Callithrix jacchus: one gene and its partner. The protein of the gene in region 2 interacts with the protein of the main gene of each other region in a pairwise test. Links are inferred from orthologs where the notes say so. Each region holds a gene or a part of one and is shown on either strand. Other genes may lie near its edges.

Region 1 (7,690 bases), on a different chromosome or scaffold from region 2:
CCACACACTCATCCACTCACCCATCCATCTACTCACCCACCTCCCATCAACCCATCAACCCGTCCATCCAACCACTTATCCATTCATTCTTCAACCTATTCATTCTTCCATGCATTTATGCATCCATCCACCCATCCACTCAGCCACCTACCCACCAGCCCACCTCATCCATCATCTACCTCATCTATTCATCCATTCATCCACCTGCCCACCCATCTTCTCCTCTAACAGCCCACTCAGAGTGGGCCCAGGGTGAGGCAAGTGAGGTGCCTGAGGTGTAAAATTTAAGTGAGTCAGGAATTACAGTTGCATGCTCCTAAGAGTGAATACCTCCTTAAATTTTTCACACTTACTGCCTTATTTACCTCTCTCTAGACCCAGCCCTACACCTACCTATCCATCCACTTATTTACCCACCCAGTCACCCAGCCATCTGCCCATCCTTCCATCCACTCAGCTGTTCACTTGTTTATGTGCCCCTCTGCCCCAGGAATCTATGGGCCCACTGGGGAGTGATTCTCACTTGAATCCACTGGGTGCACCAATATCAGCTTTGCTGATCTTCTTCTTCCCTGAGCGTTTCTTATCAGCTGGGCCAGGTACAGGTGCTGGGAGTCCACGGTATCGTGAACTTGTGATGTCAGGGTTCTGGATGTCTACTGTCGCCAGCCCCAGGGACAGCGGACCAGCAGGTGGGCCTGTGGGGAAAATAGGGTGGTTGGCCCATTGACCCACTTACCAACCAACCAAAGCATAGGGGCAAGAAACAGAAGCCTTGGGGAAATCTGTGTGTGTGTTGGATGGTCATGGAGGGAGTGGGTGAAGGGTTCAAGGAGGGTCTATAGAGAAGTGAGTGGATCCTGCAAACCATTCATACATTCACTGATTCATTCATTATTTTCATTCCCTCATGGTTTATCATTCACTGGCTCACTGACTAATGAATTTGTTAACATTTTCATTTACTGATTTATTTATTCATCCTGCTTTCTTCACTGACCAAATTTGTCTTGTACTCGTTTATTCACTGTTCATTCATTCACTCATTCACGAATTTACTCAGTCATCCATACACCCTTTCATTCATTTATCCACATACCCATTCACCTATGCATCTATCTTTTTTTTTTTTTAAGATGGGGTTTCACCATGATGGCCAGGCTGGTCTTGAACTCCTGACTTCAGGTGATCCACCCACCTCGGCCTCCCAAAGTGGTAGGATTACAGGCGTGAGCCACAGCGCCCGGCCCACTTATGCATCTATCTATCTACTTAGACTTTCATCCTCCCATCAATTCATCCCTCCACTCAGCCATCTGCCACGAATCCACCCACCCGTCCATCGATCCCCACATCCATGCACCCACTCATCCATCCACATACCCATCCATTCACCCACTTAGGCACCCATCCAACTGCTCATTCCTCCATCCACTCTTCCACCTACCCACCCATCCATCCAGAGACACAGGGAAGAATCAGCACGCACCTCCTTGGTCTCCACCTGGGTGTGGGGGCAGGGGTGGGAGCCCTCCTCTTCTCTCTGGGAAGATGGGATGTGTCAAGAGCTATCACAACTCTGCCACAGGTTCTTGGGATAGCCCCTTATTACCCCTACTTGTACTAGAGGACTCACCTTCATTGGCTGGTGTTGGTGGTGGGGGTAGTTGGTGTCTGTCTGTGGATAGACAGATGGATTGGGAGTGAAAACCATGAGAGGAGACTTTTCTAGTTTCCCATACTTACACTCACTTCTGCCCAATTTCCTTTCCTCCCCTGCAGCCTCCTCACCTCCACTTTGCCTCTGATTCCTTTTTTGTATCTTCTCCTGCACCAGGGCCTGGAAGGCCTGGGCCTCGCCCTCGTCTGCAAAGTTCAGCCCCGCTTGGCAGTCCTGCACATACCTTGGGGTCAGCCACCTCCCAGGTCCCCCGCAGCTTTCCCATCTCCTCTCCAAAACCCAAGTGAGGCTCAAGGGCTGGTTGGTCACTTACATCTCCAGTGAAGGTGTGGAAGAAGGGGGTGGGGGTGGAGTAGACAAGCTGTGAGTACAGCTCCTGTTCCCAGAGAAGCCGACCAGCCTGGAGAGGTGTAGGGTGGGAGACACAGTGGCACTGAGGCAAGCCGGGGGTGGCAGGCCTTTGTTAGCTGGGCAGGGAGCAGGGTGTCTGGATTTGGGGGTCTCATAGTCTGGTTTGGAGATTTTTAGCTCAGTACCAGAGAGCTGGGGAATCTAACAGTGTGGATGTGGGGAGTTGGGGTACAATCTAGGAGTCAGACACTTTTGTGAGAGGTTTGGATTTGGGGTTCAGGGCCCTAGATGTGGGACTCGGGAGCTTGAATTTCATAATTTAGGACTCTAGTCTTAGGAAGTTGAGACTCATTCAGAGACTCAATCTGTGCCCTTCCCTGCCACCCCAGCCCCAATTAATGACAGGTAGGATTCTGGTATTTGGGAGTTAGAGTTGAGATTTGAAGTTCAAACACATAGATTTGGGAGTTTTGTGGGGAGTCCAGCTAAAGTAAGTGCAATTTGGGGTTTGTGGAGAAGAGTCATGGCTTAGGAGTTTGGTCAAGCTTTGACAGGCTTGGGATCTTGAAGTTATGCTGAGTCCATCTTTATGGGTTTAGAAGGATGAATTTGGGGCTTAAACCTAGAAAGTTCAGGTTGGGGGATTGTGAAAAAGACTTTTTTCTTAAGAACTACCTTGTGTCCCTGACCTGGGTAGAGTGGCATCTGGTTGGTAGTGCCCATCTCATATCAGCCAGGGACAAAGCAACCCCTTGTTCATCCCAGCTTGGCTCTTGATCTGTGCCTATGCCTGGTTCATGCCTTGGACACATAGGTTAAAAAAAAAAAACTACCTTGGTATTTGAGTGTTCAGGAATTTTAATATGGGAACTCTGGGGTCTGTGCTGTGGATTTAAAAGGACAGATGTGGAGTTCAAGGATCAATGGAATATTCAAGTTTGGGGTTTGGGGAACTGATTTATGACTTAGGAGCTTGGCAAACATCTGGGGTTCAAGAGTTTTGATGAAGGATTCCTGGGATGCAAAATGTTGAGTTTAGAATAGATTCAGGTATAAATACAGTGCTCATTTCTTGGAATTTGTAGAAAAGATTAGGCTTAGGCAGTATACTAATAATTGGGGGGCTTTAGAGATTTTGATATGGAGGCTGAGGCCAGTCATTGTAGACTTAGAAAGGCAAGCTACAGTTTGCCATCTGGCTGAGTCTTTGGTTCTGGGGCTCAGGGATTCATTAATCAGGTCTGAGGTCTTGGGGCGATGGACACAGATGGACACAGATTTGACAGATCTGGGTTTGTGAGTTGAGAACTGGCTTGCAAGTCCAGTAGGGGGGTGGGAGTCACCTGAAGGCCATAAAGGCGGATGAAGTAGGACTTCTTGGGGTTATCCTTCACGAAGCACACAGCCCCACAATGCTCCTTGGTCCAGTGCTCAGCTCCAGGGGGCAGCGCCAGGTACAGCTGAACAACTGCGGTGGCCAGCGTCTGGGAGGGGAAAGCAGGGGTCAGTGGAGTCTGGTCAGGTGTAGCCACAGGGTCTTGGAGCCAGACCTGGTCCTTCCTGCCTCATGACAGTCGTGGGCCTGAAGGAAGAACTGCATGCAGCCAGAGGGAAAGCAAGTAGACATTGGGTTCTTCCTGGGAAGGGTGGACGATGACAGGAGATTCTAGGAGAGAAGATGATGGAGAGGGAAAGGAGGAGCGGGAGGAGGGGAAGAAAGAGAAGGCGGAGAGGAAGAGGAGGAAACAGTGAGGACGGGGCGGGGGCAGGAGATCCCCAGCTCACCAAGCATTTTCGTCCAAGCATCTCAAAGAGTCGCTGGTTCTCGTGGTCCTGGAGGAGGGTGGACGGTATGTTCTGCTGAACCACTGGTGCTCCTCGGCCCCCGGGCCTTCCTCCCATTGGGCCCCCACTCATGGTGCTTTCTGTCCTTGTCTTCTCCAGTGAGGCTCTGGGTGCAGGGTAAGAAGAGGAACTTCCGCAGTGAGCAGCAAGGGAACAGGAAGTGCAAAAACCCACAAGGGACAAGTGAAACAAGTACTCCAGGGGCCCCTTGGTGGGCCTGGCCTCCTCCTCATTAGGCCAAGCTTGGGCCCTCTGCCATCAGATTGGAACCCTCTTCCACTTAACTGCTTAGACCCATCTTTTGGATCAGCTTGGGTCCTCCTCCTCCGTCTTTCTTACTCTCTGGGGCCTATCTCCTCTGACTGGCTCAGACCCTCCTCCCTCTGGCAGGCAGTGAGAGCTTAGCCATCAGCAGCACATCTGTGTGCAGGGCTCCCTGTGGCAAAGAGTAGCCATGGGCCTGGGTGGCCTCCTTTGTAAGGCACCCAGGTAGCCTGAGACTAAGGCTCTAGGTCCCTAGTGCTGAAGGGTTACTACAGTAACATTTTTCCTTTTGGCCAGGCGCGGTGGCTCACGCCTGTAATCCCAACACTTTGGGAGGCCGAGGCGAGCAGATCACTTGAAGTCAGGAGTTAAAGACCATCCTGGGCAATATGGTGAAACCCCATCTCTACTAAAAAATACAAAAATTAGGCCAGGCACAGTGGCTCACGCCTGTAATCCCAGCACTTTGGGAGGCTGAGATGGGTGGATCACCTGAGGTCAGGAGTTCAAGACCAGCCTGGCCAACATGGTGACACCCCATCTCTAAAAAATGAAAGAAAAAGAAAAAAAATTACCAAAATTATCCAGGCATGATGGCACACACTTATAGTCCTAGCTACTCAGGAGGCTGAGGCAGGAGAATCACTTGAACCTGGGAGGCAGAGGTTGCAGTGAGCTGAGATCGAACCACTGCATGCCATTCTGGATGATGACAGAGCAAGACTCTGTCTCAAAAACAAACAAAAAAACCCTTTCCTTTTAATTACAGAGCGAGCCCTTGTGATCCACCCCTATCCTGAGTACCCAGACACTGCCAATTACGCATATGCCTCTGGTTCACTCCCCCATCCCTTACCTTGCCTCTCCACAGCTCCCAAATTACTTTCTGCTTGTCATCCCTTTTTTAAAGAAAGGAACTTTAGGGCCAGGCACGGTGGCTCAAGCCTGTAATACCAGCACTTTGGGAGGCCAAGGCAGGTGGATCACGAGGTCAAGAGATCGAGACCATCCCGGTCAACATGGTGAAACCCCGTCTCTACTAAAAATACAAAAAAATTAGCTGGGCATGGTGGCGGGTGCCTGTAATCCCAGCTACTCAGGAGGCTGAGGCAGGAGAATTGCCTGAACCCAGGAGGCGGAGGTTGCGGTGAGCCGAGATCGCACCATTGCACGCCAGACTGGGTAACAAGAGCGAAACTCAGTCTCAAAAAAAAAAAAAAAAAGAAAGGAAATTTATATCATATATGATATACCTGAACAACATCTTGTTTAGTTTTCTTTGCTCTTGAAGTTTGTAAAAGCACATAATATTCAAAGGCTTGCGTTCTCCCCACTGGACATCCTAGTTTTATCTTCACTCGCATAGCACTTAATGTATGTGCCAGGCACTGTTCTGAACCCTTTTCCAGGAGTGCGAGCCAGGCAGGCCAAGAGTAAGTGCACGTTCTGGGGACTTGAAGCTCTCAGGCATAGGGACAGCAGTTTTGGGGAGCTGAGCAGGTCTGGGGTGTGACTGACATTCCTAGGTACCTGAAGGAGGAATGGCACATCTCCAGATGGGACCTGCAGCCCTTCCTGGAAACTTCCATGGCTCCCCACACATGCAGGTTCAAAGCCTCTCTCCTGAACCTAGGCTGAGAGTCCCTTCTGCAGTGGCAGTTCCAACCTCCCTCCCGTGTCCCCACTCACAGCTAAGCTTCAGGCCTAGAGCACTTCCAACCAGCTGATCAGGGCAGGCCCCGATGTGGCCTTCAAGGCCATTGCACATGTTCATTGTGACACGCTCGATGAGCAGTCACGGTGTGCCAGGAGTATCTCCAGCATCTGGACAGATGGCACTAAATGGGTATTGAGGGATTGAATGAGGGATCAATAATGATATCCAATTCGATTCAGTGGTTTCAGAGGTTTTTCTAAGTGCCTTCCATTTATTAACTCATTTCACATTCACAGATGACCCCACCAAGTAAGGACTATTGTTGTTATCCCCATTGTACTGATGGGGAAGCTGAGGCCCAGAGGAACTTGGGTGCCTTACCCAAGGTCACACAGCTTGTGACTGGTGGAGTTGAGGAAAATTATGAGAGAAATAGTTGTTCCCAAGCTGTGAGGTGCCACATGGGGGCCGAGATAAAATTCATCTGCTCCTCTCTGTCTTTTGTTCTATACCTTTCTATCTTTTTCTCTGCCTCCAGAACTGTCCCCTTGAATAGGGGACGCTAAGCCTCTGATATATTTGCTGGTTGTTGTTGTTTTTATTATTTTTATTTTTTTTGAGATGGAGTTTTGCTCTTGTTACCCAGGCTGGAGTGCAATGGCGCGATCTCAGCTCACTGCAACCTCTGCCTCCTGGGTTCAAGCAATTCTCCTGCCTCAGCCTCCCGAGTAGCTGGGACTACAGGCGCGTGCCACCATGCCCAGCTAATTTTTGTATTTTTAGTAGAGACGGGGTTTCACCATGTTGACCAGGATGGTCTCAATCTCTTGACCTTATGATCCACCCGCCTCAGCCTCCCAAAGTGCTGGGATTATAGGCGTGAGCCACCGCACCCGGCCTGTTTTTGTTTTTAAAGTGAAAGCAAGTTTATTAAGAAAGTAAAATAAAGAATAGCTACTCCATAGGCAGAGCAGCAGCTTGGGCTGCTGGACTAAGGATACTTAGAATTATTATTTTTTATTATTATAGAAAAAATATGGGGTTTCACCACGATGGCCAGGCTGGTCTTGAACTCCTGACCTCAGTTGATCCACCCACCTCGGCCTCCAAAAGTGCTAGGATTACAGGCCTGAGCCACGCGCCCAGCCAGTTATTTCTTGATTATATGCTAAACAAGGGGCAGATTATTCATGAGTTTTCCAGGAAAGGGGTGGGCAATTCTGGGAACTGAGCATTCCTCCCCTTTTTAGACCATTTAGGGTAACTTCTTGATGTTGCCATGGCACTGTAATAGCGCTGGTGGGAGTGTCTCTTAGCAGGCTAGTGCATCATAATTAGTGGCTAATGAGCAGTTAGGAAGACCAGAGGCCATGTTCACTGCTATCTCGGTTTGGGTGGATTTTAGCCAACTTCCTTACTGCAAACTTTTATCATCAAGGTCTTTGTGACCTGTATCTTGTGCTGACATCTTATCCCTTCCTGTTAGATAAGAATGCCTAACCTCCTGGGAATGCAGCCCAGTAGGTCTCAGCCTTATTTTACCCAGTCGCTACTCAAGACGGAATCACTCTGGTTCAAATGCCTCTGACATATTTGCCCTTCCTTTTTATAAGGGAACCCTTCATCCTGAAGGGTTTAGAGGGACTACGATTCATCTTATGTAACTTCTTCAGACTGAATAGGGGCGATGATATTCCTGCCTATTAGGGTCTCTTGTATTCAGGGTAGAAGGGAGCTCAGTCAGCAAGCCTCGATATGTCGAGGGCTGCTCATAACTGAGTTCCGACAAAACATGACATCCATCCCTCTTGTTTCTTCTGAGCAGCAGTCACAGATCACGGATTGGTTCACAGGAATAAGCAGGGTCAGTCCAAAGTCGGCCAATCAGTGCT
Region 2 (7,117 bases):
GACCAGAACCTGGCAGTCTCCTCCACCGCTGCATTCCCCAGGCCAAGCAGCAAGCCCACCTCCGGAGTCACATGGCAGAAGAAAGCAAAAACGAATACGCGGCTCAACTACAACGCTTCAACCGAGACCAAGCCCACTTCTACTTTTCACAGATGCCCCAGATATTCGATGTGAGTGCTCCCAGTTCTCAGACCTACCTTCCGGAAAGCCCTCAATGTTAACCAACTCTTACACATTCGTCAAAACCCCAGCTGCAATGTTCCAGTCCCTAGATTGAAAGTGAATCAGAAACCTATAATAATAGTCAGATGCTGTTCTTTTAGTCCAGCTGTTCTTCTTGCTGGGCATGCCTTTTACTTATTTGTTTGTTTATTTACTTCTATAGAGAGATGGGGCCCAGCTCTGTCACCCAGGCAGTGGCAAGATCACAGCTTACTGCAGCCTGGAACCCCTTGGCTCAAGCGACCTTTCTTTCTTTTTGAAATTCCTACTTATTCTTCTAAGCTCCACCTCTAACAACTCTTCTGAAAGGTCTCAAATTTTTCTTCTTCTTTTTTTTTTTATTTTTTGAGATGGAGTCTTGCTCTGTCACCCAGGCTGGAGTGCAATGGCGCGATCTCAGCTCACTGCAACCTCCGCCTCCTGGGTTCAAGCGATTCTTCTGTGCCAGCCTCCCGAGTAGCTGGGACTGTAGGCGCACAGCACCACACCTGGCTAAATTTTGTATTTTTAGTAGAGATGGGATTTCACCATATTGGCCAGCCTGGTCTCAAACTCCTGACCTCGTGATCCGCTCTCCTTGGCCTCCCAAAGTGCTGGGATTACAGGTGTGAGCCACCGTGCCCGGCCAAAGTTACCCTCTTGGTTTTAATCTAGTGCTCCACTCTCTGTCCGGTCCCTGGCCCTGGGAATATCAGGGCTGGTTCTGCTTTTTCTTTAAATCCCTGCCCTCTTGTCTCCTTGGAGAAGCCTTTGCCGACCTAGGCAGGCATACCCCTCTGCCATCCCCCTGGCACTGTGTCTCTTCAGCCACACTGGGCTGGAGTCTCTCTTCCCGATTCTGTCTTCCCCTCCAGACTGGCTTGGGGTTGAGGCCAGCGTGGAGCGCGATCATAGTTGCAGAGTGACTCACTGTGCTTCTAGAACCTCTGTTAGCACCCCTGAGCCCCGCTTGCCCCATCCCTACAGAAGCTCCAGGACATGGACGAACGCAGGGCTATCCGCCTGGGTGCTGGGTATGGGCTCCTCTCGGAGGCCGAGCTGGAGGTGGTGCCCATCATCGCCAAGTGTTTGGAGGGCATGAAGGTGGCGGCACATGCTGTGGATCCCAAGAACGTAGGTGCCTGTTCTGGGAACAGTGGGCCGGGGGGTGGGCAGAGGGAGGTCCCCATAAGCAAGGCGCTTGACTGCACATCCCCTGTGCCCCTCTCCCAGGACTCCCAAGTCCTTATAGAGCTGCACAAGTCAGGTTTTGCCCGCCCGGGCGACGTGGAATTCGAGGACTTCAGCCAGCCCATGAACCGGGCACCCTCGGACAGCAGCCTGGGCACCCCCTCGGAAGGACGGCCTGAGCTCCGGGGCCCGGGCCGCAGCCGTGCCAAGCGCTGGCCTTTTGGGAAGAAAAACAAGGTGGGGGCCGGGACCCTTGGGATGCTGGGGGAGAAGGACAGTGAGGTGGGGACAGTGGGGCCCCTACTGAGTCAGCCCCAGCCGCCTGAACGCTGAGTCCCGGGCAGGAATTTTCCTCTTGGCTGCCGGCCCGGGCTGGAGGGAAGGAAGGCGGGCGGGCCGATTGGCCTGGGAGTCCCCCGAGGCGAAGGGGGGGGTGGGGAGGGGAGGTCTGTGGCGTCTGTCTGTTTGCTGCTTCTCGGGATGCTGGGAGAAGACCTGCTGGTGGAATTGAGGGCTGGCCTGAGGGCTGGTGACATCATCCCTGGGGACTCCCCGAGTTCCTCTCTCCATCCTGCTGGTGGGACTCTGGGAACCACCCTGCACGTCCTCTTGTCTTGGCTGTTTGGATTTTCAGACCTTGGCACCCTTGGTTTATACTTTGATTTACACTTCGGGGCCCCCTGACTCAAACTTTCATACCTCTCCTCGACTTACACCTGTGATCTCCGGACTCAGCCCTCTGATGCCCCAACCCCACTCATCTTCCTGCTTCCCACTCCCCTCTCGGCTTGTGGCCTCTGTGGCCCCATATGTGTCTGAGACCGTGATTCCTGCATGCGTCTTCTAGACTGTCAGCCCCGAAAGCTAAGTGGACAGAGAGACATGTGTGCCCCTGCCTCCTGACCCATGCTTGCCCCCGGACATCACCTTCCAGAGACCTAGGAGATACCTGGGGGCCTGAGAGTTCTGGCTTTCGGGCTTACAGTTCGACCTCCTTCCCGCCACCTTCCAGATTTTTTATGTCGCTCTTGCATGCATTTTTCTCTGTGTGGTTGCACATCCTGAGTTGTGGTTTTCTTACCATTTTTTTTCTTTCTCCGTTTTGTTTTTCCTTTTTTTTCTTTGTTGCGTCCATCCGTCCATCCATGCGTCCATTCCTCCGTCCATTCGTCCGCATTCTCTGCATCTTCCTACCCCCACCCACTCCTTCAACCTATCCCTCTCCCCGCCCCCTGCCGGTAGCCTCGCCCCCCACCCCTCTCCCCCCTGGGGGGCCCCATACCCTTGGCATTGCCTAATGGACCCCCGTCCCCCCGCTCCGGCCGTGACCCCTTGACCATACTGAGCGAGATCAGTAAGTCGGTCAAACCGAGGCTAGCATCCTTCCGCAGCCTTCGAGGCAGCCGTGGGGTAAGTGAGGCCTCGGGGCAGGAGGAGGTGGTGGCCCTAGCCTGCCCAGCGGCGGGTGGCGGGACCCTGGGCTCGCTTCCTGCCGCTGGCTGGGCCCCTCTTCCCTGGTTGCCCAACCCAGACCCGCTTTGCTCTGTGCATGGCCTCGCTGCCAAGAATCGTGGCTGGGGAAGGAAGTGAAATAGCTCAGACGTGTGCAGAGTCTGGCAGCCTAGACTCCTTGATCCCCAGTTCAACCCCATACCCACCTTGCAGACAGTGGTGACCGAGGATTTTAGCCACTTGCCCCCAGAGCAGCAGCGAAAACGGCTTCAACAGCAGTTGGAAGAACGCAATCGTGAACTTCAGAAGGAGGTTGACCAGAGGTACGGTGGTGGGGTAGGGAGGGCAGGCAAGGAGCATGATAAAATAGTAAATGAATTCCATTTATTTATCACTTTATTTATTTCATTTTTATTATATTTTATTATTTTTTGAGATGGAGTCTTGCTCTGTTGCCCAGGCCAGAGTGTAGTGGCACGATCTCAGCTCACTGCGACCTCCACCTCCCAGGTTCAAGCAGTTGTCCTGCCTCAGCCTCCTGAGTAGCTGGGATCACAGTTGCATGCCACCATGTCTGGCTAAGTATTTGTATTTTTAGTAGAGACGGAGTTTCGTCATGTTGGCCAGGCTGGACTCAAAACTCCTGACCTCGTGATCCGCTCGCCTCAGCGTCTCCCATCCAAGTACTAACCAGGCCCGACCCTGCTTAGCTTCCGAGATCAGACGAGATCGGGCGCGTTCAGGGTGGTATGGCCGTAGACCGCCTCAGCCTCTCAGTGAGACCCCGTTTTGGCCATTTTTATTTTATTTTAAGACAGGGTCTTGCTCTGTCACCCAGGCTGGAGTGCAGTGGCGCAATCTTGGCTCACTGCAGCCTCATTAAAAGTTGGACTAAAAGTTCAACATCCCAGGTTCAAGCGATTCTGTGCCTCAGCCTCCCAAGTACGTAGGACCACAGGCGTGCACTACCACACCCAGCTACTTTTTATATTTTGGTAGAGGTGGGGTTTTCCCATGTTGTCCAGCCTGGTCTTGAACTCCTGACCTAAGGTGATCTGCCTGCCTTGGCCTTCCATAATGCTGGAATTATAGGCATGAGCCACTGCCCTGGTCTGTAAATGAATGACATCTAAATAGTATTCAGAGATCTCTCCAACAATCTGAAGACCCTGATGATGATCTCCCCAACAATCCCAAGGGACAGTTACTTCTTGACCAGGTGCAGTGGCTCATGCCTGCAATCCTGGTATTTTGGGAGGTCAGGGCAGGAGGATCACCTGAGCCTAGGAGTTTGAGTCCTGCCTGGGCAACAGAGTGAGACTCCATTTCTACAAAAAAAAAAAAAAAAAAAAAAAATAGCTGGGTGTGGTGTTTTGTGCCTGTCTCAGCTACTTGGGAGGCTGAGGTGGGAGGATGGCTTGTGCCTGGGAAGCTGAGACTGCAGATAGCTGTGATTGCACCATATGCACTTTAGCCTGGCTGCCAGAGTGAGACCCTGTCTCAAAAAGAACAAAAGAAACAGTTACTTCTTGTCTTACACAAGTCCTTCCAGCAAACAGAAAAAGAGTGAAACCTGTCAGCCTCTTTAGGCTGAAGAATCCTGATTCCCAAATCAGTGGCCAAGAATTCAAGAAGAGAAAATTGAGGGCTCATTTTACTTTATTTATGATCATAGATCCTAGCCAAGCAAATCCTTCACAAAAGCCTAGCCAAGCAGATCCAGTGTTTAAAAAATAATACATCACTTTGGGAGGCTGAGGCAGGCGGATCACCTGAGGTCAGGTGTTTGAGACAAGTCTGACCAACATAGTAAAACCCTGTCTCTGCTGAAAATACAAAAATTAGCAGGGCATTGTGGCATGCAGCCATAATCCCTACTTGGGAGGCTGAGGTGAACTGCTTGAACCCAGGAGGCAGTAGTTGCGGTGAGCCAAGGTCGAGCCATTGCATTCCAGCCCGGGCAACAAGAGTGAAACTCTGTCTCAAAAAAAAAGAAACAACAAATTTTTTAAAAACTAAAAAAAAAAAAAAAAAAAAAAATTCATCATCACTTGGGCATTATCCCAATAATGCAAAGATGGTTCAATACCAAAAAATCCATCCATCTAGATCACCACATCAATTGGCTGAAAGAAAGAAAAAGCAGCATATGGTTGTCTAACAGTTCAAACACACAAAATATTAACAACAAAAAAATCTGCCAGATTAAAAAAAAATCTTTACTCTTTCCAAGCAACAAAATCTTCTTCCCAGTCCTGTTACATAATAGGAATGACATTTGCCACTTGCTAACAGGCAGCCAAATGGTATTTTGCCATTTGCATGTAACCTCTTGGACAGAATAGCTTTTATTGGTGTAAAGTTCCATTCAGAACTCTCTAGTTCCTGGGTGTCTATGGTGGAGGGGTTAAGGGTGCATGTTCTAGAGTCAAAACAAACTGGACTTGATTTCCAGCTTCATCTCCGAGATCTTGGGCAGCTTGTTTCACCTTCTAATTCCTGTTTCTTCATCTGTAAAGTGGGTCAGGTGTTAGAACTGGAATGAAATTGGCCGGGCGCAGCGGCTTATGCCCGTAATGCAAGCACTCTGGGAGGCCGAGGCAGGTGGATGGCTTGAGGCCAGGAGTTCGAGACCAGCCTGGGCAACATACGGAAATCCTGACTCTATTAAAAATACAAAAATTAGCCAGGCGTGGTGACGTGCACCTGTAATCCCAGCTACTCGGGCAGCTGAGGCACAAGAATCGCTGGAACCCAGGAGGCGGAGGTTGCAGTGAGCTGAGACTGCGCCACTGCACTCCAGCCTGGGCCACAGAGTGAGACTGTGTCTCAAGAAAAAATAAATAAATAACTGAAAGTAAGTCGAGCTTAGGTCTGGTCTTTTCCAAAGATCTGTTATAGTCGTGACTACCTGTATATGTAGACACAGAGGAGACGGAGATGATAGACTAATGATAACGAAAACAGTATTTATTAATCACTTACTGTACTAAACAGTGTACATGGATTTATTTGAATTCTCAAGTTTTCCTTAGAGATTGTATGCAGAGTTAAGATCCTGACTGTCTTGTTTAGTGTTATATTTATCTTTCTGTTTTCTTTTCTTTTTGAGACAGAGTCTCACTCTGTGGGCCAGGCTGGAACGCAGTGGCACGATCTTGGCTCACTGCAATTTCTGCCTCCCGGGTTTAAGCAATTTTCCTGCTTCAGCCTCCCAAGTAGCTAGGACTATAGGCACATGCCACCATGCCCAGATAATTTTTATATACAGTAGAGATGGGGTTTCACCATATTGGCCAGGCTGGTTTCGAACTCCTAACCTCATGATCCACCCACCTTGGCCTCCCAAAGTGCTGGGATTACAGACGTGAGCTACCTCACCCGGCCATATTTATCTTTCTTTCTTTCTTTCTTTTTTCCCCATCCCCTCCTCCCCCTATTTTTAAAAAATTGTTAAAAAAAAATTTTTTTTTTTGAGAAGGAATTTCACTTTTGTAACCCAGGCTGGAGTGCAATGGTGTGATCTCAGCTCACTGCAACCTCCACCTCCTGGGTTCAAGCAGTTCTCCTGCCTCAGCCTCCTGAGTAGCTGGGACTACAGGCACATGCCACCATGCCTAGCTAATTTTTCCATTTTTAGCAGAGACAGGGTTTCCCCCCAAGATGGTCTCAATCTCTTGACCTTGTGATCCACCTGCCTCGGCCTCCCAAAGTGCTGGGATTATAGGCGTGAGCCACCGTGCCTGGCCTTGTTTTAATTTTTTACTAGAGACAAGGTTTCACTCTGTTGTCCAGGCTGGTCCTGAACTCCTGGCCTCAAGTGATCTTTCTGCCTCAGCCTACAAAATAATTCTGGGATTATAGACGTGAGCCACCATGGCCAGCCCAGTGTTTTATTTCTAATGCTAGGAATGGTACTGGTATGCAGTAGGTACTCAGTATGTATATGAGTAATAGTGAGGGTTTACCAAGCATCAGGCATCGTATTAATCCTCACAATGACCACATGAGATATTTGGATCATCATCTCCATTTCCAAGATAAGCAAACAGCAGCAGGTGTTTAGTTGATTTAAGCCAAGCTCACAGAACTAGGAAATACACTAAGATTCGAACCCAGGCAGTCGAGCACTAGCCTTAATCACTGTCCTGCCTTGCTATTTGCTCCTTGATGCAAAACCCCTGTTTTTTCGCTTGTTAAATCACATAGAGCCCCTCTCCTGGCTCATGCCTCTAATCCCAGCAGTTTGGGAGGCTGAGGCAGGAGGATCACT

What was found. The genes of interacting proteins can lie anywhere in the genome.
Region 1: the proteins of TRIP10 (region 2) and WAS interact in a two-hybrid assay, tested with the Homo sapiens proteins (2 studies listed by BioGRID). The link is inferred for Callithrix jacchus from reciprocal best matches to the Homo sapiens genes TRIP10 and WAS.

Annotation. Positions count from the first base shown.
Region 1 is NC_133524.1:49,248,806-49,256,495, reverse strand, and holds the start of WAS (actin nucleation-promoting factor WAS), read right to left. Parts: upstream 3,997-7,690; 5' UTR 3,950-3,996; coding exon 3,818-3,949; intron 3,517-3,817; coding exon 3,376-3,516; intron 2,847-3,375; exon of another isoform or gene 2,712-2,846; intron 2,082-2,711; coding exon 1,995-2,081; intron 1,895-1,994; coding exon 1,792-1,894; intron 1,679-1,791; coding exon 1,637-1,678; intron 1,544-1,636; coding exon 1,490-1,543; intron 699-1,489; coding exon 524-698; intron 1-523. UniProt on the Homo sapiens protein: Effector protein for Rho-type GTPases that regulates actin filament reorganization via its interaction with the Arp2/3 complex. Important for efficient actin polymerization. Possible regulator of lymphocyte and platelet function.
Region 2 is NC_133523.1:6,335,315-6,342,431, forward strand, and holds part of TRIP10 (cdc42-interacting protein 4), read left to right. Parts: intron 1-41; coding exon 42-170; intron 171-1,188; coding exon 1,189-1,335; intron 1,336-1,434; coding exon 1,435-1,629; intron 1,630-2,634; coding exon 2,635-2,802; intron 2,803-3,057; coding exon 3,058-3,167; intron 3,168-7,117. UniProt on the Homo sapiens protein: Required for translocation of GLUT4 to the plasma membrane in response to insulin signaling. Required to coordinate membrane tubulation with reorganization of the actin cytoskeleton during endocytosis.